Linked DNA regions of Drosophila melanogaster. The protein of the gene in region 3 interacts with the protein of the main gene of each other region in a pairwise test. Each region holds a gene or a part of one and is shown on either strand. Other genes may lie near its edges.

Evidence for each region.
Region 1: the proteins of EAChm (region 3) and Sod3 interact in a two-hybrid assay, tested with the Drosophila melanogaster proteins (one large-scale study listed by BioGRID).
Region 2: the proteins of EAChm (region 3) and CG7011 interact in a two-hybrid assay, tested with the Drosophila melanogaster proteins (one large-scale study listed by BioGRID).
Region 4: the proteins of EAChm (region 3) and Jon65Aiv interact in a two-hybrid assay, tested with the Drosophila melanogaster proteins (one large-scale study listed by BioGRID).

What each region holds. Positions count from the first base shown.
Region 1 is NT_033778.4:11,378,801-11,388,382, forward strand, and holds Sod3 (superoxide dismutase 3), read right to left. Parts: upstream 5,315-9,582; 5' UTR 5,215-5,314; intron 4,276-5,214; exon of another isoform or gene 4,132-4,275; intron 3,518-4,131; 5' UTR 3,512-3,517; coding exon 3,449-3,511; intron 3,383-3,448; coding exon 3,155-3,382; intron 3,092-3,154; coding exon 2,863-3,091; intron 2,795-2,862; coding exon 2,773-2,794; coding exon of another isoform or gene 2,769-2,772; exon of another isoform or gene 2,229-2,768; coding exon 2,039-2,228; 3' UTR 1,994-2,038; coding exon of another isoform or gene 1,882-1,993; 3' UTR 1,649-1,881; downstream 1-1,648. Other genes in the region: Tsp47F (tetraspanin 47F), read right to left, coding at 165-227; sprt (sprite), read right to left, coding at 6,261-6,642, 6,756-7,796, 7,863-8,266; CG30022 (uncharacterized protein), read right to left, coding at 8,460-8,515, 8,572-8,690, 8,745-9,108, 9,200-9,344, 9,408-9,563. UniProt on the Drosophila melanogaster protein: Protects the extracellular space from the toxic effects of reactive oxygen intermediates by converting superoxide radicals into hydrogen peroxide and oxygen.
Region 2 is NT_037436.4:15,158,874-15,167,299, forward strand, and holds CG7011 (uncharacterized protein), read right to left. Parts: upstream 4,756-8,426; 5' UTR 4,623-4,755; coding exon 4,535-4,622; intron 4,466-4,534; coding exon 4,114-4,465; intron 3,965-4,113; coding exon 3,627-3,964; intron 3,598-3,626; exon of another isoform or gene 3,493-3,597; coding exon of another isoform or gene 3,384-3,492; intron 3,261-3,383; coding exon of another isoform or gene 3,130-3,260; exon of another isoform or gene 2,944-3,129; intron 2,500-2,943; coding exon 2,292-2,499; intron 2,266-2,291; exon of another isoform or gene 2,227-2,265; coding exon 2,091-2,226; 3' UTR 2,003-2,090; downstream 1-2,002. Other genes in the region: Prp31 (Pre-mRNA processing factor 31), read left to right, coding at 297-395, 452-903, 966-1,584, 1,644-1,979; CG6878 (uncharacterized protein), read left to right, coding at 3,130-3,260, 3,384-3,492.
Region 3 is NT_037436.4:15,051,335-15,057,965, reverse strand, and holds EAChm (enhancer of acetyltransferase chameau), read right to left. Parts: upstream 3,190-6,631; 5' UTR 3,145-3,189; coding exon 2,509-3,144; 3' UTR 2,401-2,508; downstream 1-2,400. Other genes in the region: CG18649 (uncharacterized protein), read left to right, coding at 3,863-4,141; CG43680 (uncharacterized protein), read left to right, coding at 4,671-4,820; CG13461 (uncharacterized protein), read left to right, coding at 5,491-5,904.
Region 4 is NT_037436.4:6,036,016-6,042,686, forward strand, and holds Jon65Aiv (jonah 65Aiv), read left to right. Parts: upstream 1-3,139; 5' UTR 3,140-3,180; coding exon 3,181-3,437; intron 3,438-3,514; coding exon 3,515-4,073; 3' UTR 4,074-4,120; downstream 4,121-6,671. Other genes in the region: yip7 (yippee interacting protein 7), read left to right, coding at 1-96; CG6462 (uncharacterized protein), read left to right, coding at 1,096-2,055.

The DNA.
Region 1 (9,582 bases), on a different chromosome or scaffold from region 3:
TTTTATGATTCTTTTTTGAAATTAATATCAATAAGTCAATTTGATTGGCATATGATTTGTTAGAAACAAAGTGATTTGCAGTATGATGCAATGTATTGTATTTAGCATAATATTCTCAGTATCCTTTAGATATTTTACTCATATATCATATCACTTGCACTTACCGCAAACAGCACATTAAATGCGAATAAGACATATTTAATTAAACTCGGACCGCAAGAACGCATTTTGAGATTCCTTTTGGGGCGAAGCACTAATTCAAGTTATTTCAACTTTAGATCAATTCAAATACAGAATCGCTTTGGTGCGTGATATGACTTAGTGATCCAGAGCGATGGCCCAAATCGACTGACCGCACTGGAGTTTAACCGCGAACTGACCGGAGCGACGGTCCGGCTGGGCTTTAGAAGGGCCCGGTTCTGTTGTGGCCACTTGCCACTTGCCGGGTTGGTGGTGGCAACGGATCCGGATTGCGGTTGGGGTACGGCTAGCAATGGGTAGCGGCGGAACAAAAGCGAAAGCGAGTGAAAGTCTTGGAGGCCCGATTCGAATTTAGGCCAGGCATGATTAGGCTGGAATCGGAATAGGGATCGGGCATGGGCCTATGACGGACTATATGGACTATAGGGGCTGGAACTCCGTGCTGGCTTATTTCACTGTTGATTTAGCATTCGATACCAAAGAACTTTGACCAAAGCAGCGAGGCGAGGCGAGGCGATTGGTTGCGTTTTGTGGGTCGCCCGGGGCTTACCTCACTTGCCTCACTCACGGCTCCATTCGCCATCTCCAGCTGGATTCCGGGTGGGTCATTGCACTTATTACCATAAAAATTTAGCTGTGCGCCCACGTCTATGTGTTTCCCTTTAAAGTTCGGCACTTAGCACTTGGAACTCGACCGGGCCCAAGGCGAAATTAATTGCGTGCTTTCGTGCGCGGCAAAGAAAGTTGTAAATGCTTTCTCTTTCTCTGAGGACTGTGCGAAATAATTAAAGACGCCCAGAAGTATGCCACAGTCTTTCGGATGATGTTAGTGTTGCGTGTCGGGAATTATGGCCCTAGGTTTTCTAGAATCCCACTGTTTGACCCATTCTCTGGCTGAGCCTATCTGGTCGAAGAAATCTAGAAAAAATAAAAGCAAAAACTGTTGCTTGACCATTAGTTGCGGCGGCTTGGAATCAAAATCCCTGGGAATTGGAGTTCTCTGAATGATTGGAGCACAAATATTTTCTGAAGGCTTCCGCAATTTAAAGCAAATTGTGGCTCTAAGCTGGAATTCAGCAAATCAAAGGCAACTAAATGTTATATGACCCATTCGCAGCCACATAAAGGTGTATGGGTAGGAAAAGCTTTGGTGACGTCGAAGTTCTATATATAGTTTTCCTACCAACTTTTTGAGTGTTCATTTATTTGGTAACCTATTTTAGGGAACAAACAGCTATTTGTCCTTAGAAATCAACATACAAAATTGAAGTTATATTTAATTCTCTTGATAACTTACTACTACTGTGATTTATGTGCAATTCTAACAGTCCATTGGAAACACTTTGTCTAATCTTTTTTATAAAATTAGAGCTAACCCTTATCTGTCGTTCATTTTCAGCAACTTTTGTTACTATCTAAGCACGTACAAATTGCAAGCACCCGAAATACAAATAACAAACTTTATTATCGATCAATTCAAACACTTTACAAGTAGCTTAGTTAGTTCCTTTGATTTCTCTATTTGGGTGGATAATGCTGGAGTATTATAATTACTGTTGGTAGTGGTGTGCGACTCATGGTTGTGTGGTTAGTGTGTAAGTAGGTATGCAGATCACTACGATGGCCAACAATCCCATGCCACATGCGTGCATTCGATCCGATCCGGGTGCATGTTTCGGATTAGTCAAGGCTGCGGGCCATGATGAGGGCCACGATGACGGTCAGGATGGAGAAGGAGTAGCGCAGGGCGCCGGCGCCACCATCGCGACATGGCCACTCGTCCACATCCGAGCTGCAATTAGAAGGTGGAACAGGCGAACGGTGTAGTCTCGCGATCTCACAGATACAATTGGTGCGACAACGGATACGGATAGGGGTATGGGTGCGGATATGGATATGGGTGTGGGTATGGCAAAGGATAGTGCTGGAGTGGATAGACAACATGATCTTGTGGCTCCCCATGGGGCACATAGTACAGTGGCTGATGGCGTGGTGTTGGTGGTGCAGGTGCAGGTACAGATGGGCCACTGGAAAACATACAATGTGAGTTTTTTGATTGAACCCTGGTTGGATCAGTAAAGTTCCGATTCCAGCGGCAGTTGTTATTCCAATATCCCCTTCTCTTCGCCGACCGACCGACCGACCGACCGACCGACCGACTAATGCTAATGATGTTAGTAAAAATGATAGGTAAAAAGGCTCTCTGTCATACCTACCCACTCGGAAAAGCAACCCCAGCAAAGCGCGAAAGTTTGTTTAGGCCATGAATATGAGGTGGTAGAACACAAGTGGTACAGAGTATGCTAATGTTTAGCTTAGATTTCGGTTAATTTTTGTTGATTTTATTACACACAAACACACACACGGCAAATCGAGTGAGTCAGTGAACTGAGACAATTAATTGAGGGAAATGTGTAAGCCAAACATGTAAGGGTGAGTGTGATTGTGGGTGGGGGAATTGGGAAAATTGGGAAAACATTTCATTAGTTACTACGCCTGGAGTTACACAACTACACATAAAGTATTCGAGCAGCATATTGATTTGGCTGACACGTTGGAAGGGATATTTACTTGATGCCAATAACACCACAGGCTGAAAGAAGGTTTAAAACAAATATTTTATTATTATTATTATTTTATTATTTTACACTGACTACTTACCAATGCGGCCGCCTGCATTGCCGGTCTTCTTGGAATCCGTGTGGTTGCCCAGACCGAGATCATCCTCCAATTCGTGGACAACAACTCCCCTGCCAATGATCCCCAGCTTGCCAGTTAAGGTGATCACCTGATCCGTGTATGTAACGTCGATAATGCCCGTGGAGTTGGCCTCCAGGTTGCCCAGATCGCCAACATGACGCACCTCGTGATCGGGGCCACCGTGATCAACCTGAGACATAAAAGTTATATTAGTGATTTAGACACCTAATCCTATAAAGAATCCCGCATCTACCTTATCGGGGTTATAGTGAGCACCCATGCTGATGCATCCATTGGTCAGATCTCCCTTCTCGTGAATGTGGAAGCCGTGCTTGCCCTCCTTCAATCCCTCCAGCTGGACGCGCACATGGACATTCTGGCCACAGTCGTTCTGCGTAAAGGTCACGTTGCCCTTGACCTGGGTATTATCCGATTGCACGGGTCCAATCAGATAGGCAATGGCTTGAATGGGCATATTGCGCTGCAAAGTAAGTTCAGTGTCCTAATTATAAGTGGATTTTCAAATTAACGAGATTATATATCTTACCGTCTGCGCAGCAGAGCAAATTGTGGCACAGAGTGCCAGGCTAACAACAAGATATTGCATCATTTTGAACTGCAAGGAAATCATAGTTAAATTAGACACGTGTACGACTCGGATAGCAAATGTTAGAAATGTTTAAATGTCTATAAATAAATAATTTTAAATTGAGTGGCACAAGCAGAGAAAATCCCACCAGGGATGATCTACTGGACATAGCTAAAAATGAACTAAATGATAATCCTGAAATTTCGATAATTGATATGGACTCAATATTAAAAACATCTTCCAAAACTATTTATATAATGCTTTATAGTAAAGCTTTAAATGATTTGGAACCAAATACTTTCAGTTTTGGGAAATGCTAGGAGGGTTTATGTCTTGTAATCTCAAATTCCGTGATGCCAACTCATCTCTGGCACTTGAATTCCAGCTCATCTCTGGCTTGGACGTCATCAGGTGTACATTCTCTTGATTCCATTTAAACGGACAGTTGTGTGCGGAATTGAAGCGCCTAGCCTCAATTTATGAAACGATTTGTGGGTCATATATGATGTGCGAACGGGTATTATTATTTATGTGTGTGAATAATGAGCGATACCCAAACGAAACTAAATGCAAACAGCCTTTTTCACAGGGTTAAGTGCGGCTGCGGGAAGGTCAATCAACAATCTCTTTTTCGTACGCACTTCGCTTCCAAAGTTCCACAAATGAAATGGATGGGTGTCACACTTTATCGGGGCAATATTTGTTTATGGGTCCGGTTTCCTTACGGTCTTATCAATGTGTCTGCGATATGCTGGCGATCTTGCACGCTCGAGTTCTGAAACGATCTTCAAACGCGGTCAGTACCTGCTCTACACACGTATCCTTATCTGCACTTGGAATCGGTCCCATAATTTACGATTCTCACGCTCGTAGAGCGACTGAATTTCGGAACTAAAAATGCCATTGTCATTACGTATAAGTATTTTAATCTGTTTTTTGCCAGGTATTTACTTATTCTGGTTCAAACTGTCACGAAATGGGTCACAAATTGCAACTAATAGCCACTGCTTGTCCATCAAATAAGGTTTATTAGGGCTCTTGCTTGCTGATTAAATATGATTGATTTGAAAATAATAACTCAGTTTGAGTTTTACCGTGAAACGATATGCTAATGAAGATGCTTATCTGAACAATTTGATCGCAGGGCTCTCTTCGTGAATTTGCAAACAATACAGCCAAGATTACTTGATTTCACACACAGAGACTTCGCGTCTAATTTAAACGCCGAAGCTATGCAGTTTTGAGATAAGAACAAGCCATAATTTTACATATATGAAAAGATAGAATATCGTAAACACTTGTTCAACCAACTGTTCACGATTGGGAATTTAAATGTTTATTGAAGTTTTAAGCCGTGGAATGTGTGGATTGTAATGGATATGTACAATATTTTGTGTCTGGTCTGTGCTGCATTTTTGCCCACTCATTTTTCTGGATTAATAACTGGTTACCTTAACCCACTCAAGGGTGAGCGGACAGTGAATGAGAGAATCAAAAATCAGTGAAGTAAACTCCGTTTTTGCGGTAACTGGTTTCTTTTTGGTAACACGCAATTGTGGGTAATATATCTAAATCAGGTTCTAAAATGTAAGCAAACCAATAAATTATGAACAATTAACAATTACAATTAACTCAAGTAACTTCAACTTCAGCTTAACCTTCACCCAATATTCTCGATTACTAGCCCTTGATCTTCTTTTTTTTCGCGTCCGTTGCAAACTCACCTTGTTAGCAACTATTTTATAATTGGGTACTGATTGTTTTTTGCGAGAATTAAGCGATTGCACCTCTGTACCGTTGGAAACCTGCGACGGAACTGTTTCGAGCCTCTGGCATTGCCATCGCAAATCGACTCGCTGAGAGAACATTGGGGCAGATTTGGCGAGAGCAAGAAGACCGCAGAATTGAGAATTGAGAGCGCCACCAGGTGGAGCGGCGGATATTGCATTTGGCGGTCAGCACGATCGCGTAGGCGAGAGTTCCGCTCTCAGGTTTATCTCGGGCTTACTTCACCGCTCTATCGCTCTATCTCCCTCGTTGAGTTTTTTTTATCAACTGCAGATTGATCAGATTCTTTTGTCCAGCTCTGATGATATATTTATTATCCTATTAACGGCCTTTTTTTTAATTATATCCAAATTATAGCTATTAAGTAATTCTTTGAACTTACTAAAAGCGCAGCTGAAACACGCTAACGTGCTTTTCATTTGAATACCTTATCACTGTGGCGTCATAAAATATGTGCCAGGCTCGTGCCTACAATGGAGGTCGTAAATATTGGCATGCTTTCCAGATACGGCGAAGCAATTTGAAGAACTACTGCTACAAATTCTTTGAAAATGAGTTGCCAGGTAATAGCTTCTGATATGCCAACCGATGCCATGAAATTGTAGTTACATCACATTTATAGCAGGCCGGGATCGAATTTTTTAAATAAATAACGCATTTAAGTAGGTGAAAATATTCGTGTATTCACATTTGTAAATTGTGCTAATAAAATCATCGTACATACAAAAACTCTTAATTATTGATTCTCTCAATACTAAATGTTGATAGCCAAGCCCTACTTATACAAGATATAGAATGTAAGTACATACTACTGCTACTACATAATAAGAAACTTTCCACTTGGGAGCTGGTTAAAATTATATTGCCTACTGTAATTTTGCACATGTCCGCCTGTTTTTTGGGTTTAACCGCCGGTTAGGATCGGTCGAGGATTAAGCTACTTCGATTAACAATTAGTTTTGGTTGGATTGGGATCGGGTTTCTAGATGAGCTTGTGCCTGCCGAGGGAAGCCGTGTGCATGGGACTGCAGTTCTCGATGAGCATGGTCTGGCCCTCTCCAGTCGGTGATTCTCCACCTTTGTTGTTGTTGTTGTTGTTGTGGTGGACCCTCTTCATGGGCCGCTTTCGTTCGATATCCGCACAGGGGTGCAGCTCCACGGTCTGCAGACTTTGGGCTCGTTGCAGCGATAGCCGGAGGGGTTTCTTGGGCGGAGTGGGTCTAGTGGTACGCGTCTCAGTCGCAGGCTTCGATTCGTTTTCGCTATCGAAATCCAGGGATTTTACACTCCTCATATCGCTGGGCAGGCGGGCTCGAAGTGTGTTCGACTCACTTTGTCGGGGCGTGTCTCGGCGACGATCCAGTCTGGAATGGCGAAGAAGATCGGGGAGATTAGTCAGGAAAATTTAAATCTATGAAAAAGCCTGTCTTTGCTAGAACATCTACACAAGAATCTCGAAGAATCGCGAATAACCTACCCATTGTAATGATTCAGGTGCTCTACACTGCGTGCGTGCGTGCTCATGAGATGTTCGCGATGCAGTTGCTGCTGTTGCTGGAGAGGATCTCTGGGGCGTTCCCGGTGCTGGCGATCGCGATGGCGCTCCTTATCACGTCGATGGTGCTGCATATAGGCAGAATCGCTATTAATCGAGATCTTCGAGGCGGACAGCGATTTGGAGGGCATGGAGTACATGTGCGACAGACGATCTCTCAAATCGATGTGGGTATTCTCCTTGATCAGTGTTTTGGTTACATGTCCGGGAGGGGTTTGTGTCGAGGCCATGTCGTCACCCATCAGCTCGATGGGTTTGCCCCCCACCAAAGTGGTAATATAGTTGCCCCGCTGAAAGATCAACGGTTTCTCGGGCGGTGTTGATGGAGGTGATGATATGCTGATGCTGGTCACATGCTGAGATTGATTGGAGGATGTCTGCTGTGGATTTTGCTGTGGATTTTGCTGTGGATTTTGCTGTTGCTGCTGCTGCTGCTGCTGCTGTTGCGATGGATGATGCTCCTTGACTGTCTGCAGTTCTCGCACCTGCTCTTCCAGGTACGATATGCGATGCTGCAGCCTCATGTTGTTCTCCTTCTCCTGGTCTAGTTGCTTTTGTGGTATAGGTACGGACTTCTTGCGGAGTACAACCATCTGACACTTGCCAGAGTTTCCTACTTGCTTCTGCAGCTCTTCCTTGGATTTTCCGGTTACCAGTCGTCCGTTGATCTCCAAAATGCGATCGCCCTTGTACAAGCCATCACCCTCTAAAGCCCATTCTACGTAGAAACCCGGCTGGTCTGTCCTCTGTTGAACTGCCCATCTTCCCGAGGTGGCATGCACGGCGTGCAGACTCAGGGAGACTCCAGAGCTGATGATGTTGTAGAGGGTCTGCGCCTCGGGCTTGGACTTTTCCAGACGTGCCTGCAAGGCGCGAGCCTCCTCCACAATCGAGAGCATCTGGAGTTCTTCTCTGCCGAGTGCGTATTCCAATTCGGCTTGACGGATGCGGATGTCTATGTTGCTGTGGATAAAATAAAGTAAGTATTAAATATCTTCAAGCTAAATAGTATTAAAACATTCTACTCACTCTGTGATGTCCAGCTTCTCCAGGGCACTCTTCAGGTTCTTGATCTTAATTCGCTTATTCTCCGCCTCCGTCTTCAGTCTGTTTAGTTTTTGCTCAGCCGCCGGCTTCTCGGACTCATCCAGCGGTGGTCCCGTGGGACGTGGCAGTTTGCCCAGACAAAGCTGTATACGCAGATTCTGGATGACAGCCTCCCGATCCTGAAGAGCCGATCGCAATTCCTTGGATTCGCTGCGCGTCGATCGCGAGGAGAGAGTACCGCCCAGGGAGCCACCCTTGCGCCTTCTTCCAGTTGTGGAACAATGGGTAGAGGTGGTCGTGGTACTGGCAGTCTCCTGGTTCGTCTCTGCAGTCGAGTGCAGACTGTACTTGACGGCACTGCCACAACCCTTCGGATTGAGAATGGTCTGCAACAAAAGAAGGCGAACAAAGAAGTGAGTTTTTTAAGTTTATCTTATTAAGCACAGAAGTCAGGGAGTAAAATGAGGCTGTCATAACTTGATCGTGATAAGATTATTATGATTATTTATTTAAAAGATTACAAGTCTCTTTGAAACATTATTATATAAGCTGCGTATATAGTGTTTGCAGGGGTTGGAATTATTCCTTGGGTATATCGTACACCCCGCACTCTCGATTGGCGGGCAGCGAGGCATCTAAAAGATATTAAACTTAGTAAAAGACGCATATAGTAATATGTTCACATCCCCACCTATTTTCTTGGGATATGGTAAATTTAGGTTTTCCATGATTTTGACAAACTCTTCAATATCCTTAGTCAGTCTGGGGTTATACCGCTTCTCCTCCCACACACTGCTTTCCATTTGACCTCTGGAAATGACCGCCATTAGATTGATATCACATAGCATTCCAGATCCCACTCACTTATAGTCGTGCGCCGGATATATGCGAAAGTTTTCCGGGAGTGTGAAGATCTTACTGTGCACATTCTCGTAGAGATTACGTGGGCAGCCTTCCTGGAAATCGGTGCGTCCACAGCCTCGTATCAGGAGAGTATCTCCGGTAAAGACACAACCCTGATCCTTGATCACATAGGTCATGCAGCCATTTGTGTGTCCCGGAGTGGCCAGAGCATCAATCACATGGGTGCCGAAATCTATGCGATCCCCTTCATTCAGGTGACGATCCGCCTTGGCTCCACTGGCGGCAGCAATCACAGATTGACACCCAGTTAACTTCCTCAACCAGCCACTGCCCGTTATGTGATCCGCATGCATGTGTGTGTTGACTTGGGGGAATGGGGAAATATTGTAGTGTCATGATGAAATTATCATCCAATGATCTATCCATACATAGATAGAGATCTCTCTCTAACTTACTGGCATACTTCAACTCGAAGCCCAGATCCTTGACCAGCTGGGCATCTCGTTTCGCCTGCTCCAAAACAGGATCAATGATTACGGCCTGACCATTCTTTAGATCGGCCAGAAGGTAGCTATAGGTGCTGCTTTCTCCATCAAAAAGCTGAATGAATGCTTGTGAATAGTGTCACTAGAATATTTCAACATAGTCCATCCGATTACGTACTTGACGGAAGAAGAAGTCTGGAGAAAAGGGCTGGCGCTCCGGCAGGCTCATGGTTCCAAACGAGCTCAGGTACCGGATGTTACTGACCAAGGTGGGGGGTTGGTTCGTTGATAGCCGCTTGAGGGCTGCCAGCATACTGGATCCAACTATTCTCATTTTGGACTCGTATTTCTAT
Region 2 (8,426 bases), 110 kb from region 3:
ACAGAATTCTAATTAAGCAGGAAAATCGAAACTTTCCAGAATAATAACAAGAGTTATGATATTGGATCGTTCTGTTCATGAAATGTTTATTGAATTTGGTCAAATTGATCAATTAAAATCCAGTGGAATAGCCTTATGGTATTCTTTAAATGAATACCCTATATATTTCATGCTAATACTTAGTATTTTTTCAATGAACCGCATGGTATTCTAAGGCGGCTGAGCAACGGTCACTTCAATTCCAAAACAAACTTAATTTCACGAGATCGCAAAATAAACTTTTGAAATAAGCCAAAATGTCGCTAGCCGATGAGCTTTTAGCCGATCTCGAGGAAGACAATGACAATGAGCTGGAGGAGGAGGATTCGGAGATGGCCAGTGCAGAGGACGAGAGCGTAAGGAACCAAAGCAAATGTTGATCAGACCTAATGATTCCCCTCCCACAAAACAGTTGCTGGCGGAGAAGCTGGCTAAGCCGGCTCCCAATCTGATGGACGTGGATGTAACCGTGCAGTCGGTGCGGGAACTGTGCAAGCTGCGCGACTCTGAGCGCCTGAAGAACACGCTGCAGCAGATCGAGCACTATGCCAGTCGCCAGAGAACTGCAGCCGAAATGCTGGGATCCGTAGAATCCGATCCAGAGTACTGCCTCATCGTGGACGCTAATGCCATAGCTGTGGACATTGACAACGAGATCTCCATTGTGCACAAGTTCACCAAGGAGAAGTATCAGAAGCGATTCCCCGAATTGGACTCCCTGATCGTGGGTGAAATCGAGTACTTGCTGGCGGTCAAGGAGCTGGGCAACGACCTGGACCAGGTCAAAAATAACGAGAAGCTGCAGGCTATTCTCACGCAGGCCACCATTATGATTGTGTCAGTCACGGCGTCCACCACACAGGGGTAAGTTATTTGAACGGTGTAACCCAAAATAACATGTCACTGAATCCCATTCCCTTTCGCAGAACCATGCTGACACCGGCGGAGAAGGCAAAGATCGACGAGGCCTGCGAAATGGCCATCGAACTGAATAACTTCAAGTCCAAGATCTACGAGTATGTGGAAAGTCGCATGACCTTCATAGCCCCAAATCTTTCCATGATTGTTGGAGCATCGACGGCGGCTAAACTCTTGGGCATTGCTGGTGGCCTTTCCAAATTATCCAAAATGCCGGCCTGCAATGTTCAGGTGTTGGGTGCACAAAAGAAAACCCTCTCGGGCTTCTCACAAACGCAGATGTTGCCGCACACTGGCTATGTGTACTACTCACAGATTGTGCAGGATACTGCGCCAGATCTGCGACGCAAGGCAGCTCGCTTGGTGGCCGCCAAGTCCGTGCTGGCTGCTCGTGTTGATGCCTGTCATGAGAGTGTCCACGGGGAGATTGGACTGCGCTTCAAGGAGGATGTGGAAAAGAAGCTGGACAAGCTGCAGGAGCCGCCGCCGGTGAAGTTCATAAAGCCGCTGCCCAAACCCATCGAGGGAAGCAAGAAGAAGCGAGGAGGCAAACGCGTGCGCAAGATGAAGGAACGATATGCGCTGACAGAGTTCCGCAAGCAAGCGAACCGCATGAATTTCGGAGACGTAAGTTTCTGGCTTAAAAATATAATGGTTATGTATTAATCTTTGAACTTTTCTTTCAGATCGAAGAGGATGCCTACCAAGGAGATCTGGGCTATTCACGCGGCACCATCGGCAAAACTGGCACCGGCCGCATCCGATTGCCCCAGGTGGATGAGAAGACCAAGGTGCGCATTAGCAAAACGTTGCACAAGAATCTGCAGAAACAGCAGGTGTACGGCGGCAACACCACGGTCAAACGCCAAATCTCCGGAACGGCATCCAGTGTGGCCTTTACGCCACTGCAAGGTCTAGAGATTGTGAATCCGCAGGCGGCGGAGCGTTCGCAGACGGAGGCCAATGCCAAATACTTTTCAAACACATCCGGATTCATGTCAGTGGGACAGCGGACCACTTAAGAGAACAGCTCTATCCTTATTTTCTATAAAATTAAGCACTTTTATTTGGAGATTTGTCGAATGTATATTGAGTTAGGCGTAGTAAAGCTGCATAAGAGATTCGAATTGTTGTTAGCTGAGCTTGCCGACTTCCAGTTTCCGTTGAATGGCCTCCCACGAGTTGTTCAGCAGCACGGCGAGAATGCCGGCCACCGTGAACACGCCTCCGATGATGGAACAGCAATTCGTGGCGAAGTGGCCAAATGAGCTGGGAATACACAACACAACCAATAAAACTTGTAAAATTAACCATTAGCTTTGTGGCTTACTGACCTGTGTCTCTCCGCATATTTCACCATCAGTGGCGAGAGCTCGTAGCTGAAGAATATCCCCGGCATTCCGCGCTCGCGATCTGAAAGATCTTTTCGGTATCGCGTGACGGAGAATTGATTCGTGTATATGGGCTCGCCGTCGCTGTTTCCTCGCATATATAATGTGGGAACAATTTTTAAATAGTAATTGAACATTTCACTTTTGGTTTCTGCAAAAAGAGGAGAGCAGATTTTCTAGTTTACTTCATTTGTCGTTGATAAATGTATTTAATTTGGTAAGGTAATTACGAATTAAACTTCATGCTTCTAAAAACAGGTATTTCACAATTCGAACAAATGAGTATATTTTTTCCAATTTAAAAAATGAAAATGCCCCACACAACAGACCTCCGAAGTTTCCCAGAAATTCTTCGAGGAGTAAAATATAAATTAAAATGGATGCCTGTGCTTAAATAACTTAGTTTTTTTTTATTTCAGTCTTAAGTATGCTTTTTAATAATATTAATAAATAAAGAATATAAATTGATTTTAAAGCACCCGCTTTTTAGCTACCGCCCCCTATCGGCTTTCTCTAGAACGAGGCAAGCCGAGCGAAAAACAAAGTGGCAACCCTTCTATAATTTGACAGCTCACGCACACCATCACTCAGCTGCTCACACTCACACGTTTACGAATTATTCGACTAGTCGGTGCCGAAATAAATAGAAATATTTTGAATATTCCTAAAATAAACGAACCTTCTGCGAGATTCATAAGTGCGTCGGAGCAGCGGAGCTTGCTACTCAGCGGTATCAACTCATATAGAGCCGGTGAACCAGGAAAACCACGGACTTAGCGGCATGCCTCTGCCTACGAGCTCATTTTCCCAGCAGGGACCAACGTGCTTCGATAAGATGAAGACGGGCTTCATCATCGGATTCTGCGTGGGCATGGCCAGCGGTGCGGTCTTTGGCGGGTTCTCGGCGCTCAGGTTAGTTGGACTTTGCACTCGGATGCTCCACTTAGCGCTCCTCCAAAGAAGTGACGCAAGTGGAGGCCGGCAATTATGTAATTACTCCGGCTAACTAACGAACCACATTGAAATACACTTTAGATACGGACTACGCGGGCGGGAGCTGATCAACAACGTGGGCAAGACCATGGTCCAGGGCGGCGGAACCTTTGGCACCTTTATGGCCATCGGCACGGGGATTCGCTGCTGATCCTGCTGGCATTTGACTAGAGTTACTAAACAACCACAACCTTAAGCCCTACTCCAATCTTGTTTAAATTACGCTAAGTTATTGCAATAGAGATGTTACAGAATTACGAGTCCGTGTTTGTGTTCACTACTCACCAGCCACGTCGACTCGTAGTCCATCCAAGGGATGCGTCTTGGCGAACTCTATCTTCTCGCCGAACGATAGGTGATTGATTGTGTGCGATAGCTTCACATTGCTGAACTGAAAGTCATGGATGTGGAACTGGCGGATGGAGAAGCTCTTGCCGGGCGCAAAGTGAAAGCTGCCGGCCATTCGATTCACTTCCAGGTGACCCTGGATGCGACAGCCCTCCTTGAAGGCGTCCTCGTCGCTGCGTTTGTACTTGCCCTTACATTGCTCGATCTTGTCCACGGCCACGGTCCATTTGCGCAGCCGGTAGGCGTCGAGAACATCCTCGCACGTGTTGCAGCAGCTAGATAGGATGGTAGTTGGTATTAAAAGGGGGAGATTAGAAAGCCATTGCTATAATTAGCTCTAGATACAGATATCTCCTTAGATAAATCTTGTCAGCGAAAATAGGTGGAACTAATGGTTGAACTTAGAAGCTGTTCACTATCTTACTGAGTAGCATTGTGCTCCGCTCCGTAACAACTGCCGCAAGTGACATTCTTATTGGGCGGCGAAACTGCAACGATTTCCTTGATGGGCGTCTCCTTGAGGGGCTCGCCATTGAGATCCAGCCGGTGCTTAAAGACGTCGTGGTCCACCCTCAAGTGTGTGTCGCCAGATGAATCCATTGCGTCCAATGAGATGTAGTTGCACGCCAGATTATGCAGTGTCACGTCCAGATTTATTCTCAACTTGTGATCACGAGTGGTGTCCACGAAGAGCTCTTCATTTAGGGTTGGCTGCATGTAGTTGAGGACCTCGAGGAAGATCAGTAGGCTTATGATGCTGGTACTGATAATTGTAACTGAAAATCAGAGAAAAGCCGGTTGTTTGGGTTCCTTAACGCCACAATCAATTGTACACCTGCACCCACCTGCGGCGCCGCCCACTGTGCGAACGCTGAAGTCATCCAGTGTGCGGGGATAGGCGTCCAGGCGACGCAGCACGTCGGCGAACTTCATCGTGAACACGTAAAAGGAACAAAACAGACGAAATGCAGACGTAAACAATAAATATTACATCGTTTTTGCACAAGACAGGTGACGTGTTGAAATTGGCGTTGCCAGTACGCCGCAATGGTACGGCCAAACAGATGTTCGCTGTGGTTCGGTTCGATTGACTGTTATCGTATCCGTATCTACATGCCAGCTCTTACTTTACATGTCGCATTTTACATGTTAAAAATCGGGCGAGATGCAGTAATTGTAGATAAGTATGCAGTTTTAAAAATAAATGGGCCACATCAAGAAATCTTAAAACTATTTTATCCGTTTATAAGAGGTAAATGCCATTGACACAATATAAAACGCTTATTTAAGTGCTTATCTTATTAACATAGAAACTTATGATTAGATCTTACATTGCATTACAATAGCAACATGCATGCCAATTATTACATTTCAAAAAAATACAATTTAAAATTATAAAGGTTATAAAAATGTTTTTATTTTAAGCAAAGTTTTGCTGAAACTGCATGATTATTTAATGTTAAAATTTAGCTCTTATAGTTCCCAAAATTTGATTCGTCTGGTGGTATTGATTTTGATACACACTTTACATTTACTGTTTATTAACGAATACAAAATACCCTCACTGACTATAAGCAATGATTTAAAAAAATCCAATGTCAAGCCTTACATTTATATAAGCTTTAACTTTTACTTAGGCGATTTTTTGATTTCATCCTTCATTAGCCGGAGCTTTACCCCATTGATTGCGCATACGCCGCGTTGGCCCGGCGACAATTAGGACCTCCGCTTGGCCGTCCTTTCCCATGGCCACGAATAATGTTTAATAGTGTTGTCATGTCTTGGGGTTGTGGTTGTGCATACATTAGGCCGCCATTGCCCACCATCGGCAATAACACCACCCCCCCACTCAGACGCCTTAACCCACTGCTGCTGCTGTGGTCCAGGAGACCGCGTCTAATTTTATAATACATGTTAAACAGATGAAAGGTTAATTGAAAGGAACCACAAGTTTCGACAGCCCGCGCAGCTAATGCTTAGCTTTTAGGGGTTGCAACCCCCACACCCCACAAACCCCTTTCAAAGAAGCGGACTAATAGAAGACCGTGGTTTATCCCCGGGGATTTTGGTTAAAGTTAAAAGTTTTCGCCTAAATATAAATCACCAAATGGCTTTTCGCCCGACTGATTGAAGGTCCATGAACCCAGCATCCATGTAGGGTCACAAATAATTGTATGTAGGTGTAGAACATACCGCGACTTTGTGTAATTACCAATTAAGCTCAAGTTCCCGATGCTTTCTCATTTTCCTGGCCACTCTACAGTTTCCTTTGTCATTTCTTTCGCCGACTTCACTTTTTTTTTGCAATTACCTGGACAAGAAATCTGTAAAATCAGGCAAGGCAGCAGATGACAAAGATTAGCCAGCGGTAATTTTACACTTTTTTTACTTTCTAAATTAAAGTAAATGGATTGGAAAGGGTATGGAATAGAGCATCACGCTTTGGATCTGGGAAAGTTCATAAAAAAGTGGAAGTGTCAGTTTTAACAATGTGTAACTGTATGTATAAATATGTAAATATGTAAATATGTGAATATGTAATATGTAATATGTATGTATAAATAATAAACAATGATACCATGGATTTTTAATATATAACAGCTTGACTTTGACCTTACACATTTTCAAATAAAGTTTTTTTTATTTAGGCCTTAAGCAAAATTTAAAAGTGACATATACTTCGAGATATAAACTCAATTTTTGAATCTATCCTTTCTAAAAAATTGCCACAAAGTTCTTAGTCCTTTTATGGGTCACTTTTAAATTGGATTTGAAAATGTCTCAAAAATATTTATCCCTTGGCTTCGCCGACTGACAAGTTCATAGCCCTTTTTCCTAGTATATCCTCTTATATTTGCGCAACTTATGGCCACAGGGCATTCGGGTTTTCTGCCATGGCCATTTCCCTCGACCACGCCCACTCTTATCTCCCGCTAATTTGCATTTCTAACCATTTCGCTCTAGCCAATTCGCGTCATTTCTTATTTGAAACAATGAGCCCAACATCAGCCAGAACAAATAGCGGAGAAGGAGTCATTGTGCTACGGCTTTGCCGGCAATAAAAGACTCCGGAGACAAAAGAACCGGGCTAAAAAAAAAGAGCGAGAAGAGAGCGTGTCAAGAAACTTGGAACCCGGAGCCGGAGAATGGGTAAAGAAAGCCAGAAGAGAAGTTGGCGTAAAGCAGCTTAAACAATCAGGACTGCCTAATGGATATTGACACTTTAATGCCCTGGCCACCAACCCAGGCTCTGATTCCGATTTCGAATACGCACTGCGAAAAAACCATCTTCATTATTTAAATTTAAATGCAAGGCACATAGATACACAATTAGGTACATATTAATCTACTGACACGCTAACTCAAATTCACTTTTTCCTTCCCATAGTCAAGGAAGTGCTATTATTCATAATAATATTCAAGAGGAACTTGCTTTTTGTACTTACTTACGTATCTATAGTATAAATAGATAGCACTATCACATTTTGAAGTAAATTAAAAAACTAAATGAAATAAACAATTATAAGACGCTTTAAGATTTATTGTAAACTATATTTTGAAATGCAAGTGAAAATTTAATTAGCTCATACTAAATCAAACTAAAAGGGCGCAATTTTCCCTCCGTGTAGATTTCAAATTGATATTGGATTGGGGGAATCCCCGCGCGGGAGGCTGTATCCATCCGTGCAGATGTCCTGCTCTAATTCGGTTCGGTTTTCAGCTCGCCGTGGCACAAACATATATTTTTTTTTTTTTGCCTGGGCCGCATTCTTTGCTTTAAACAAAATTGCAGTGCCGAAATTAATTATAGAGCCGCCGCAGCCGAGCCATATTTAATTAAACGTGGACATTTTCAACTTGGAACAGCCGAGCGAACCACTGAGCCACCCAAAAAAGGACGTGGAGCCAAAAGGCGTAATTAATTAGTGGAGACGTGCCAAATAATTGCGGCAGAAGTAAGTTTTTTCCTTTTTCGGGCGACTCCTTTATAATTTCGCTGGTCAAGGAATGTTTCAATTACGTGTATTGCTGATGGGCGATTGGGTTTGGGGGTTTTTTGGGAGCTGAGAGCTGCGAGCTGCTTCCTGCGGCAGGACTAAACTTTTCTGCCATCGGGCCAGGTGGGAATTAATTAAATTAGCAGGCGTCATTTTGGAAAAGCGTCGCGCAAAGACTTAAAATATTCGGCGACTCGTGCTCCGGTCTCCTGTCACTCAAATCGGCCATCAAATTTGGTGCTTTGCCACCCGAAAATTGCTATAAATGGGCTGTGAAAATTCACATACATAAAGTCCACATCCGTTGGCTGAATAACCAAAAAATGTCATTTCCGACAAATTAGTTCAGTCTGTACTAACTGGGCCACGAACTCCTGCATTGGACAATTTCAAATAGTTGGCCATTCGTTTTAAGCATATTTACTGGTTTAGAATGCCAAATCCTTTCTGCCGACAAAAGTTTCGAAAGCGTTTCGAAATCGTTCGCTCTTCATTTGGCATTATTGATGCAAATCGGTTACTTGTCACTTATGAACATCCATATTGATTTTCATCGCTCGTTACTTTTAATTGTCGCGCCTATTAATTGCATTGCAATGTGTTATAATTAGGGGCGCATTACGAACAATAGGACTCACACTTAATCGACATCTTTAATGAGGATGCAAAGGGGTTGTAAATGTAATATGCAAATTTAAAATGATGGCAACGAGTTTCCGCTTAAAAGAATATAAAGTAA
Region 3 (6,631 bases):
CCCGAAGCGCACAGGCTGCAAGAATGCCTTCGGCTGACACATGGGGGATAAATGGGGTTAAGGGTTGATATGGCGGTTATGGGGGTTGCCATGGGGTCAAGAGTAATGGACATGAACATGTGATGCACGGACTGTTGACCAGGCCATTCGAGTTGGAGGAGCAATTGTCTCCTAGCCCGGATAACTGAGTCAGCAAAGGAAATGTGCGTTTTCCGTGGATTATTTCCCTTTGTTTCTGTTTCATTTTGCGGTTTAGGCTCAGCAGCTGATCACTAAAAGGTTACCATTTTAATTAAATGATGCACGAGCACAATAAACGCAATTATATTGAATTCCGTTCGCTTGTGTGGTTTTTCTTTATTCAATTGAAATTCAATAGATGATCTACCATCAGGTATTCCTTTGAAATGATATAGAATGGCGCATTTCAATGAAGGTTGATTTAGAGCAATCATTCCACACAAACTACATTCGGTTTATAAATACTTGACAATTGACTTGTCCAAAATATAGTTGTTAATTAATCCATTAAATACCAATATCATTGGAATTATTTTATACACAATTATTTTACATGAATTTAACATAAATTATGTAGCCATCCTTATAGAATTCTATTCTATTGCTTAGACAAATATATGTTTATAATTAAAAGTCTTCTGTTATTATTCATGCAGAATTTTTAGGTTTCCTCTAAATCTTATCGAGGCCAATGAAAATTCTTCAATTAAGTAAGAAAGCCACATAATTGAAAAAGTATGCCAATTATGTCAGGTTGGCCTTAAATTCGTAAGCTACCCCAGGGGAGCAAATTCTTGGGGAGTCTATTTTTAGCGCGCTGAAATGTATGCTACAATTTCCTTCAGTGGCACGAGGCCGAGTCGAACTTGAATCAAATTATGATTAAGTCCTTACGGACGCCTGTCAGGGGAATGCGTGCGTGAAAGTCCCTACGAATGAGTCTTGTGGCCGTCTCCGTGTGAGTGAGCATCTGTGTGCGTGACATTGATTGGCATTGAGTTGGGCGTAGGCAAATGGGCGATATGGAAACATGGCCAAAACCCTCTCGACCATCGCACTATAGGCTAAAAGGTACCATCCTTTTGTGGCCAAGAAGCCATTTTGCAAAAGTCCGTAATACTAAGTTTTGATTAATAAGTTTATAAGATTAGACTTTAGTGTTGCGTACCAGAAAAAAAAAATATTCCGCACGGTTAAGATATTAGCTGTTTAAAACAGCTGTTCGGAGTGCCGTGCGCACAATCGCTTGTTTAAAAACAACACAATCACTTTTAAATTAATAATGTTGTAAATTGCGCTTTTAGGTGTATTCGCTGAAACAATAACTAATGTTTAACTAGAGATTTAAACATGAACTGCACCCAACTTCACTATAATATATATACTGTGTTGTAGGTAATTGAATTCTTGTTCTTTTGAATGTAATCTTAATGTGCAACTTCAGGTTCTCTAATGCGGAAATGTTTAAGATTTGGTGCTCTGCTGCTAGTAAACGTACAAGAGAGAAGACAATACAATGAATCAATACAATGCAGTAAAAGTAACAAAACAGCGCAATTAACATATAAAAGATAAAACCAAACCTCTCAGACAATACTGGATATATATAAAATCTCAATAGCTCATTCAGTATTTGGTGATAATGAGGACAGATTAAAAAACATTGCAAAAACTTTTTTCACTCGGTCAAAAATTGATCCCGAATATTTGGTTTTACCTTAAAGATATTTTGGTAACAAAATTAAATATAAGGGGCGGTGCCACGCTCACAATTTTTGGTATCGTAAAAGATATGGCCTAGTGTAACCCAATGCAAAAAAAAAGAAATTGAATGTCTTTATCCGTTCTGGGTAAATCTATAATCTCATTGTCAGCATTAAAAATTACTAACACGCGCCGCATTATAATGCAATTCGCCTATGTTCGACGAGCACCTGACTGCCGTTGCCACTTTTACCTTTATCCTTCTTGTTGACTCCTTCGTTGGCAACATTTCTTCCCTTTTAACCGCCTCCAGGAACTGTTTACAATTGCGCACAAGTCGTCAATGGCTGTCCTCGTCCTTGGGCTCCCTCCAATGGCATCTGGATGTTCCAACACGAACTGCTTTCACTTTCCTAGATTTTTTCACAGATTGTGCATTCAACTAAACATCATTACGTTTTTCCAGTTGCCCCACGCAAATAAGCAACTTAAGCTGAAATTTTATGATTGCGGCTTCTTTAAGAACATTTAATTTGTCACAGAAAATTATTGGAAAAACATATTACGTTTTCTTCAATTCTAAACAATTTATGGAAATTTAAAATTTGCGTTATTTTAAAAAGAATTTTATATCGTTCGTCTAAAAATATGCTTCAAATAAAAATCCATTTTTTTAATAAACTGTTTATTTTTATAAATGACTGATCCCAAAAATATGAAATGAAAATAATGTAACATGTAGTGGAGTGGTTTTTTATGAAAACTTTCAATAAGGCTCAGTGCCTATTCATTTTCCCTAGCGGCTATCTCTTTTTCGATGTCATCTAGAACCTGGTCAATAGCATCTTCCTCGGGATCGATCAGTTCATCCTCATTTTCGTTGTCTTCCTCGGATTGGTCATGGCCATCTTCCAACTCTTTCTCTTTATCGAGCTGATCCTCTTCTAGGTCATCAAGCTGGTCCTCTGAAAGATCTGTTTCGTTGTCGTCTTCGTCCTCTTCAGTTTGATCCTCCTGGTGGTATTGATCTTCGCCAGATTCCTCGTCACTCTGGGAAATCTCATGAGAAAACTCTTGGGAAATCTCGTGGGATTCCTCTGCACTGGACTGTGGACCCTCGACAATCTGACCATTGATGGTGGGCATGATGCGATAGTAACCGTTGTTATAGTACGGATACCAATTGTTGTTCCATTGGTTACGTGGTGACGATGGGGTAGTATTTCCCTGGTTGCTGTTGGCAACGGAATTGGACACTCCCGTAATGATCACCGTGTTGTTTCCAAACTTAACCGTCGTATTCCTTTGACCAGCCTCTGCCAGGACGGCCTGCAGCCAACCCAAATTCATCTGGGGAGCTGCATTGCCATAGGCAAGGATACCGGCAAAGATCAGAAGAGCAAATGCTATGGATTGCATGATTATCAAAAGTATACAGGCTGAGTGCAACTGAGACTATGATTTTCAATTAGCTTATCTTTGTTTTTATATCTTTAAAAAGTTGTCCAAATCGATCGATTTATTGTGACATGATTACATTATGCTAACAATCGTCAAGGTTCCATCATGGCCTACGATATATTTAGTTAGAAGTAGTTATTGTTTTTGGCTTACCACAAATACGACACCGAACATGTGAGTAAATATTAAGAAGTTTCGAGTAAGCGGAGCAAAACAAGCTAATGTGCTATGAATCAGAAAATAAGAATATGGAGGGCCATTCCCAAAATTTGTAAACAATTGTAGGTGGAACAGTGGTTATTCTACAAAGAAATAAAAAGGAGTCATTAATTTGATATAGACATTTTCATAAGCAAGTTAACTATGGATTATAACATGCTGTGTTTGCTTTCCTTAGGTTATACAATATATTGTATATAAAAGTATGACGTTAGCCACGTTTCACTGTAATCTTTATACGTTCTCCAAGTTCCGTCAGTCAAATGTTTACGCACGACTTTGCCTCATTTTTTGACGCTCAAACCAAGGCAACAGCTGTCGCGGGGTAAACACAAAACGAACCAAATAAATTGTCACAATGCGCGCTTTTATTTTTCTGCCAATTTAGAGATTTTGCTATAAAAGCGTATTTTCAATGTGGAACTGAACTTAGTTGAAAACTAAATTTGACAATACAATGCGTGCCTATTTGCTGCTTGCCCTGTTTGGATGTGTGCTTTTGGCCACAGTTTCCGCAAATCCGGTGGACATTGACGACTTGGAGGACCTCGAGGAGGACAAACGAATTGCTGATGAGCAGGATAATGCTAACGATGATGAGAAAGACGATGAGGATTCAAATGAACCCGAGTCCGACGACGACTTAGATGAGCCTGAATCCCCGGAGGACGATTCCCAGAACAATGATGATTCCGAAAGCGACGAGAGCATCCAGTACAATCAAGATGAAGAGTAGCTCTAATGGGAATTAACCCTTTCTATTCTTTATTGTCTTTATCTACACGCTTTCACCGGTCGTTAGACGTTTAAACAACTGTTTACACAGAAATACACAGTTCATCTTCAACAACCAAATAAGTAAAGGTTTTTATGTTATTCTAGTAAATACACACATTTCTGGAAACACCCATCATAATTGGTGCTTTTTACTTAACTTCTTTTTATACAGCTCTTAAATGATTTTGTAAAGAATTACATACTAAACAAAATCTTAAAAATGCAATTTTTATTTAATTAATTGGCCTCAAAGCCACTCTTAATACTCTTATTTCAGCGCAGGGAAAAAGAAATAATTTTCTGCCTGTAATGTGTGGCTCAATAGATCAATAAATGTTTTATCTCTCAAATATTTACTTAACATTAGTAAGGTGCAGCCATTGTGCAGTTTGCAATAGAAATTTTAAAGCAAACACGGCATTCATATATAAGAAGTGCAGTACTTTGAAAAAACTTATTCAAAGAAGAACTAAGTCTACGAAATAGAGATGCACTTTCTGATGGTACTCGTGATAATTGCTCTTTTGGCCATGGCCTTTGTGAGTGCAAGCCCACTTCCCCATCCAAGTGGAGAAGTTATCGTTATTGTCAACCCAAAAGCCCCAGTTGACTGGTGCTCTACAACATCAGCGGCTTAAATTCGAAAATACAAAAATATTTAGAAATTCTCCCCCGATGCAATTTCTCAAACACAAAATATGAAATGAGCAACTGATAAATCACCAATAAAGAAAATAAAAATAAAACTTATTCAGGGTAAAACTTTTAAATACGTTTTTTGGTCTTTATAAGTTAAATGAAATCAATAAACGTTTTGAAGTTCGATTTGGAGATATCAGATTTTTTATTTTGCTTTATATTAGCACATATTACCACGACGGAAATGAAAATCCTTTAGGCGAAGTAAATAGTAATGAAGGTAAGAAAATTTGTATCTAATGTTTTAAAAAGGCCAAAAACCATTCACTATCTTTTTAATTCAATGATTGCATGCGAGTGTGTAATAAATATGACAAAATAAAAACAGAGGTCGCTATAGTCAAGTGCCACGACTATTAGATACCTGTTAATCAGAATAGAGGCAAGCACAACGAACCCACTTACTCAAAACAATTCTGGACAATTCCCAGAATAATATCAATTAAGATTGTGCGTCACCACGCAATAATGGGATAAGCATTTGTTCAAATATGAAATTCGTAAATGACTCGTTCAAATAACAAAAAAAGGCATTTAATATAAAAAGCGATTGATCGAGTAAAGTTTCAAATCAGTTTAAAACTTCGCTGAGCACAAGAACACAAAAAAATGCGATTCCTAATTGTCGTTGCTCTTGTGGCCTTTTTGGCTGTTGGTCTTGTGGCTGCACGGCCAGCTGAGGATGAGGAGTCCTCCATCCAGGATAACACCAATGAGGATTCGTCCAGTAATGATGGCGAGGGAAACTCCGATGCTGCCGAGGAAGAACCTGCTGTTGAAGAAAGTCAAGATTCTGGAAATGTGGATAACCAGGATGATGAAAATAGCGAGGATAATCAGGAGGAGTCAGATAATGAATCAAGCGGAGATGATGAGGAAGATAACAACGGGTCTGATGATAATACCGAATCGGATAATAATAACGATTCAGAAGGCGATCAGGAGCAGGATGCTCCACCCAACAACCAGATTCGACCATTCGGACCTCTTCTCATCCAAGCAAGGCCCCTTTTCCTCGATTAATAACACGTGTTTTTAAAATATCCATTAACAATAAACATTAGACAAAATGCTTTAAAATTATACAACAAATAAAACAGTAAATAAATTAAAGCTATATATGTCGATCGATATGAAAAAACGCCACAAAGTATATAATACTTTTTGCAGAATTTGTTTAGCTTGAGGGGCTTGTCTACACAGTTAAAAAAATTATATAGAATGAATACGCTTTCATACCATCAGTTTTTAAAAAAATGTATGCTTAAATGTCAGTTAAATAACAGTCTTTGGTATTTAAAATCTGGCCACAAGATTTTAAATAATTTGATTTTGCTAATATGCTGATATTATATATATAGTTAAAGTAAATTATTTCATTTAAAGTACCATAACACAAGATAAGCTGTATGTCATAACCCCAAGTATTTTCGTTAAAATCCCGTGTTACAGAATTGCTTTAGCAATTTTTACGGCTATTTTATTGTAAAACAATATATCTCTAAAGTTTTTGACTGCCATTCCCAGTGATATTATAGCAACAATGATTATATGGGGAATTTGAATAATTTCGTGCTACAGAATTTATATATTTTCAAGTTATTTTTAGTGCAAAGAAAGCTGCTTATGATATATGCCTCTCAGTTCCTAAATATATCTCTTAAATTGTAGTTCACTTACATCGTCAGGTGACGGAAGAGTTGGCAGATAAAACTGCAATATTTACTTTTGTACATATATGGCAATCTAC
Region 4 (6,671 bases), 9.0 Mb from region 3:
TTTGGATCCGCTGATGGTTGCGAGTCTGGCGCACCAGCTGCTTTCACCCGTATCACTTACTATCGCGATTGGATCAAGGAAACTTCCGGTATCTAAGTGTTGAAGTATGAAATATGAAAACTGCAAAATATTATAAATAAAACTGTAATCATGATTTTACACATGTTAGACTTTTAAATAATGTCTAGAGATTGAGATCTACTCTCTTACCGTTTAATGAATCAGATTTCATAATAACTCTTATAGACTAACTTAATACACTTCTGGCTTTTGATATCGCCAAAGTGGGTACTTTATGATCGGTGACGAAATCGGGGCCTTGGATTGTAAAACCCCACAGCCATTCAACTCCAGGAAAATTATCAATGGCCTTTCATGTGTCGAAATGCAGGCGAAGGTGTGCAGTAAATTAAACAAATAATAAACTAAGCGTTGATAAAACGACAGTCAATAAATACAGAGACCCCGACCCAGACATTCTGGCCAATGTTGGGGGCTAAGACTGAAATCGTGCAATTGAGGACCCGGGAAAATGGGGGGTTCGAAAGCAATTAAGGAAACTGCAGTATGCCAAAGGGAGACGAAGGCCTAGCCTAAGCAACATAATCGCCAAAACGTGCGGCAATTACACGGTAGCTGGAGGAATTGAATGCCAAACATCTGCTGCTCCTCCCGTCTCCGTATAATTTGCACTCGGCCCAAGCAAATTCAATTAACAAACGATGCGGACACGTGCCGCATCCAAGTCGATGACGCAATGTCGATGCCACAATCGCTGACTATAAAAACACCAGCAAATACAACAACAAGCCCAGTACTTCACGTGAAGAGCCCACTCAGACCTGAACTTGGACTAACTCATTACGAGGAACATCAGCTATATATATAATATATGTAAATAAAAAGGCAATTCATTCATAAATTTCATTCAACATAATGAATAGAGTTTCCTATTCACATATTTAAGGGGGGGGGGGGGGCGGGGGGTATTCTATGAATTTGGTCAGAAAAAGGAAATATTACATTTAAAAGATATAGTATAGAATGCAATAACAGGTATTCCCCATATTATTTTTTCAATTCCGTAGTGATAAAATGGCGCAATACCAGGCTACAAGTGCTTTCTTCCTGCTACTTCTATCATCCACACTAGTTAAATCAAGTGAGCCTTGGCTAGATACTTTTGAGCACCCCAAAGAGGAGACACCGGACGATGACGATGCAATCATGGAAAGACGTTGGCAGCTTGGCTACGAAAACTTTCGACTTCGCTGCGAAAAATTCGAGATGGAAGGTAATCAAACCGCTGCTGTGAGAACTCGAATAGCTGGAGGAGAATTGGCCACGCGCGGCATGTTTCCCTATCAAGTGGGTCTGGTGATTCAGCTGAGTGGCGCAGATCTGGTCAAGTGCGGTGGTTCCCTTATCACTCTTCAATTTGTTTTGACTGCAGCCCATTGTCTGACCGATGCCATAGCTGCAAAGATATACACGGGCGCCACCGTATTTGCCGATGTAGAAGACTCCGTGGAGGAGTTACAAGTCACGCATAGAGATTTCATTATTTATCCTGATTACTTGGGATTTGGAGGATATAGTGACTTGGCTTTAATACGACTGCCAAGAAAAGTCAGAACTTCAGAACAAGTGCAACCCATTGAGTTGGCTGGGGAGTTCATGCATCAAAACTTTCTGGTAGGCAAAGTGGTGACCCTATCTGGCTGGGGTTACTTGGGAGATTCAACCGACAAACGGACGCGACTCCTCCAGTACTTAGATGCGGAGGTGATCGATCAGGAACGCTGCATCTGCTATTTCCTGCCAGGATTGGTTAGCCAGCGACGTCACCTGTGCACCGATGGAAGCAATGGACGTGGTGCCTGCAATGGCGACTCCGGTGGCCCCGTTGTGTACCACTGGCGCAATGTTAGCTACCTGATTGGGGTCACCTCGTTCGGCAGTGCCGAAGGATGCGAGGTGGGGGGTCCCACTGTCTACACCAGGATAACCGCATATTTGCCATGGATCCGACAGCAAACGGCAATGACCAACTAAATGCAATTAACGCCTAATTGCAGCCCATTAATTGCTAAACAATATAGTCGGCCCAGACAATAAAACCAATTTGAGCAATGAAACCAAAACAGGTTCTTCTGTCGAGAAAGGAAGGTGCAAATGGTCCATTTTATGTGTGGTTGTTTTCTCTTGAATGAAAATTGTTACCGATAAATAACAATAAACATTTCGGCATTGCAGAAGAGCAAGTCAATTTGGGGAGCTCAATAAGGGCACAAAAGAAAAATTACATTGCCATGGAAATTGCTGATGAATCGCCACTGAAATTGAAATCATTGGGTTGAGTGTCCGTTTTTGGTGAGGGCATATTGGGTACAGACCGCAGCGCCTCCTCCCGCTAATCGCCTTCAATTGGCCATCTGAATTGGCTATTAACCGCAGTGATGTGGTCGGTTGAACGCGTCATAAAATCACGCGGCTTTCGCTGATAAAGAAGGCTGCGGTTGCGAAAACAACTGAAATTTGCGTGTTTGTAATCAAAGAGAGAGTCCAGATACGCAATTGTTAGACGGCGGTATGATTTCCTATGAAGTTTAAGCAGTCTTGACCAACTCACGTCCTACTCCTTGACCTTTATCGAAGGTAAACAAACCCAACTAAACTGTGGGCTTACGGCTTCTCACCCTATAGACAGGAGATAAGATAGCACTCGACTACCATGGGAATTATAAGATACGCTGAAGAGCAAAGCAAACCTTTGCCAATTTTGTATCGCAATATATAGTTATGTATATATCGCGTATGTGTAAAACTAATCAAATTAATTAGCAACCCCATGCTAGGCCTTTGGTATCGCAGCGGCTCGATCTGGAAATCCACTCGAAGCCCATAGCCCTGATTAGATCCGTATCGGGATTAATACTCTTGGATTGGGAAAGTAATTTTGGCGACCGTGTGGCTGAAGTTCATTCATTCATATCTTCGGCACAAAATCTCAACAGATAAGGTAGTTCGAACCGACTTTAGTGGTCCTATCTAATCGGGACAGCTCTATTTCTGAATTGCAACCCAATCGCAGACGCGACTTGGCCAGTATAAAAGACCCCAGCTGGTCCTTGGCCAAACAGTTGAGTTCCCTTAACTGAACAAGCAACAATTCCCAAGATGAAGTTCCTGATCATCCTTGCCCTGGCTGTGGCCGCCTCCGCTTTCCCCGAGCCGGAGCTGCGCCATCGCAGCCGCGAGATGCCCGTCGTTGGCGACATTGGAGGTCGCATCACCGGAGGAAGCAACGCCGCCGTCGGCCAGTTCCCCTACCAGGTGGGACTTTCCCTGAAGCTGAGTGCTCTGTCCAGCGCCTGGTGCGGTGGTTCTCTGATCGGCAGCACCTGGGTCCTGACCGCTGCTCACTGTACCGATGGGTGAGTGTCCCTTGAAGGAATGCCGAAAATATCTTGGAACCAATGTCCTAACCAATTGTATGTTTGATTTATCGCAGAGTTCAGTCCGTGACCGTCTACTTGGGCGCCACCGTGCGCACCTCCGCCGAGATCACCCACACCGTGTCCAGCTCCGACATCATCATCCACTCCGGCTGGAACAGCGCTAACCTGCGCAACGACATCTCCCTGATCAAGATCCCCGCCACCTCCTCCAGCAGCAGGATCTCCGCCGTCAAGCTGCCAAGCATCTCCAACTCCTACTCGACCTTCGTCGGTGACGTCGCTGTCGCCTCCGGATGGGGACGCACCAGTGACACCTCCAGTGGTGTGGCTACCAATCTTCAGTATGTCGACCTGACTGTGATCACCAACACCAAGTGCGCCCAAACCTACGGCACCTCGGTCGTGACCGACTCAACCCTCTGCGTGGCCACCACCGACGCCAAGTCCACCTGCAACGGTGACTCCGGCGGTCCTCTGGTCCTCAAGTCGTCCAGCGAGCAGATCGGTCTGACCTCATTCGGTGCCTCTGCCGGTTGCGAGAAGGGCTACCCCGCTGCCTTCACTCGTGTGACCAGCTACCTGGACTGGATCAAGACTAACACTGGCATCTAGGAAGGAGTCAGGAACTACAATTTCGCTTAAAAATAAAAATCATTTCTAAAAAATTCAAAAGTTTTATAGCTCTATAGGGGGAATTTCGGAAACGTAGATCTTCATTTATAAATTTCTTTACTCAATATAGATCAAAAGAGAACTTATGTTCCCAGTTTGAGGGTCGTCGGTTATAGTAACAATCCATATCGTCTTGTACATATGCTTTTGTCTAAAATCAAAAATCATCACAAAACAGACAAATGAAAATGAATGCAGAACCAAGCTGTTACTGGCATTCGGCGAGTAAGTTCTCATTAAAATTCATTAAATTGCCAAGCGACACAATTTTTTTTTTTTTTTATTAATTTTTATTATTTATTGAATCTTCCCTTTGTGTTAAGAGACTAACAATAAGTGTTCAAATCTTAATCTAACTTAATTAACTTTCACTTAGTGATAGTTTTTTTTTTTCATTAATGCCCTAATAAGTTTATTGCTGGGCTGGGAGGTCGTTGCGGTGCAGCCGGCTTTGACTGCATACTCGGATTAGTTTTCTTGCGAGGGGATTTGTATGGGTGGTCAGCTTTTCGTTATACTTCGTTTTTTTCTCAGCTATTACTTCGATTACTAATTTGATTTTTAGGTCTCTGTGTATGTTTTCGTTCCGAAGGTACCACGGCGCTCCAGTGATAATTCTCAGAATTCTTGACTGTGCTCGCTGAATAATGTCTATGTTACTTCTGGATGCGTTGCCCCACAGCTCGGAGCCATAAGTCCAGATAGGTTTTAAGACGGAGTTGTATAGAAGAGCTTTGAACTCCAGACTAAGTGGAGAGCGAGCATTTATGAGCCAGTGGAGGTTCCTTGCTTTAAGTTTAAGATGTTTCGATTTGGCTTCTATATGTTTGCGCCAAGTGAGCCGCCTGTCCAGATGAACTCCCAGATATGTTACCTCGTCGGCTTGTGGAATGCATATGTTATTCAAGACCAGTGGTGGGCATGTTTGTTTGTTTAAGGTAAAGGTAACCTGCTTGCATTTTTGAACATTTATTGAAATTCTCCAGTCGGCAAGCCATCGTTCTACAGATGTTAAGTGTCGGGATAGGAGTGCCGTGGCTTTTATTGGGCATTTCGAGCGACTGAGTATCGCGGTATCATCAGCGAACGTGGAGGTTGTTAGATTGTAGTCTATGGGGAAATCCGCCGTATACAGGGTGTATAAGATTGGACCCAGTACACTGCCTTGCGGCACTCCAGCTTCGATTGCGCAATCGCGTGAAGTGCTTGTATCGCATCTTATTGCAAACACTCTGTTATATAGGTATGACTTCAGTAGCTTATGTGTGTTTTGGGGCAACAGCTTGATTATTTTAAACAAAAGTCCATCGAGCCACACTCTGTCAAATGCCTGCGCGACGTCTAGAAAAATGGCTGTGCAGTATTCTCGATGTTCAAAAGCAGTACGAATTTCTGACGTGATTCGGTTGACCTGTTCGATGGTTCCATGTTTTTCTCTAAAGCCAAATTGATGTGTTGGAAGTGTGTTGTTTATTCTAAGATGAGGGCTAATCCGAAGGAGTAGCATTTTTTCAAACAGCTTTGAAAGACATGTTAGTAAGCTTATCGGTCTATATGATGATGGCTGCGTTTTATCTTTTCCTGGCTTTGGAATCATTACTATGGTCGACTTTTTCCATTTTTGAGGGAAGTATCCAAGCTTGGCGATTGCGTTGAACAACAGGCAGATGTGAAGAATAGCACACTTTGGGAGTTCAATGAGCATTCTTGGAGTTATTAGGTCGTAGCCAGGCGATTTTCTTGGGTTCAGTTGCTCTTTGATAACCTTTGCTAGTTCACATGGTCGGAATTCAAAGGGTTCTTGAGGATCTAGATTGGCTGCTATTAAAGGAGGGAGAATAAATGTGTTGGTAGAGGGGTTTGGTCGGAATACATTTTGTAAATGGTCAGCGAAAGCACTGGCTCGTTCTTCATCACTTCGAAACCAGGTGCCAGAGGGACTTCGTAGTGGCATAATTGGCGCTATTGGAGTCTTTAGGTTTCTGTGAGCTCTCCAAAGAGGGTACTTAGTGCTGGTGGGAGAGAGTTGCTCGATATATGAACGTTGGCTGTTTTTTTTCCTCTTGTTTGAGAGCATTGGTAAGCCTGCGTGTGGCTATCTTAAGCATGTGCTTAGTAATTGGTGATCTATTAGACTGCCAATCCCTTCGTAGGCGTCGTTTATCTAATACCAGCCGCTCGATTTCGCGATTAGTTTTGATGTAGTTTGGTTTTGCATACGTCACTGGCGGGGTTGAAGCCTTTGCAGCCGAAACTAAAATGTTTTCAAGAGTTTCCGTTGACTTGTCTATATCCTCCTTTGTAGATAATGCCGTCGTTAGTTCTATGTGTGAACAGACATACTTTTGATACCTTGGCCAGTTTGTTCTAAAATTTGTGAGTCTATACGGTGGGTCGACGATGTGGGGGCGAGTTAGCATATTTAGAAAAACAGGTGAGTGATCTGATGATAAATCTGCTAGTGCTTCGGCGGTGACCATGTTGCGGGGGACATGTTTAGTAATTGCAAAATCGATCAGGTCTGGGATTTTTCTTGGG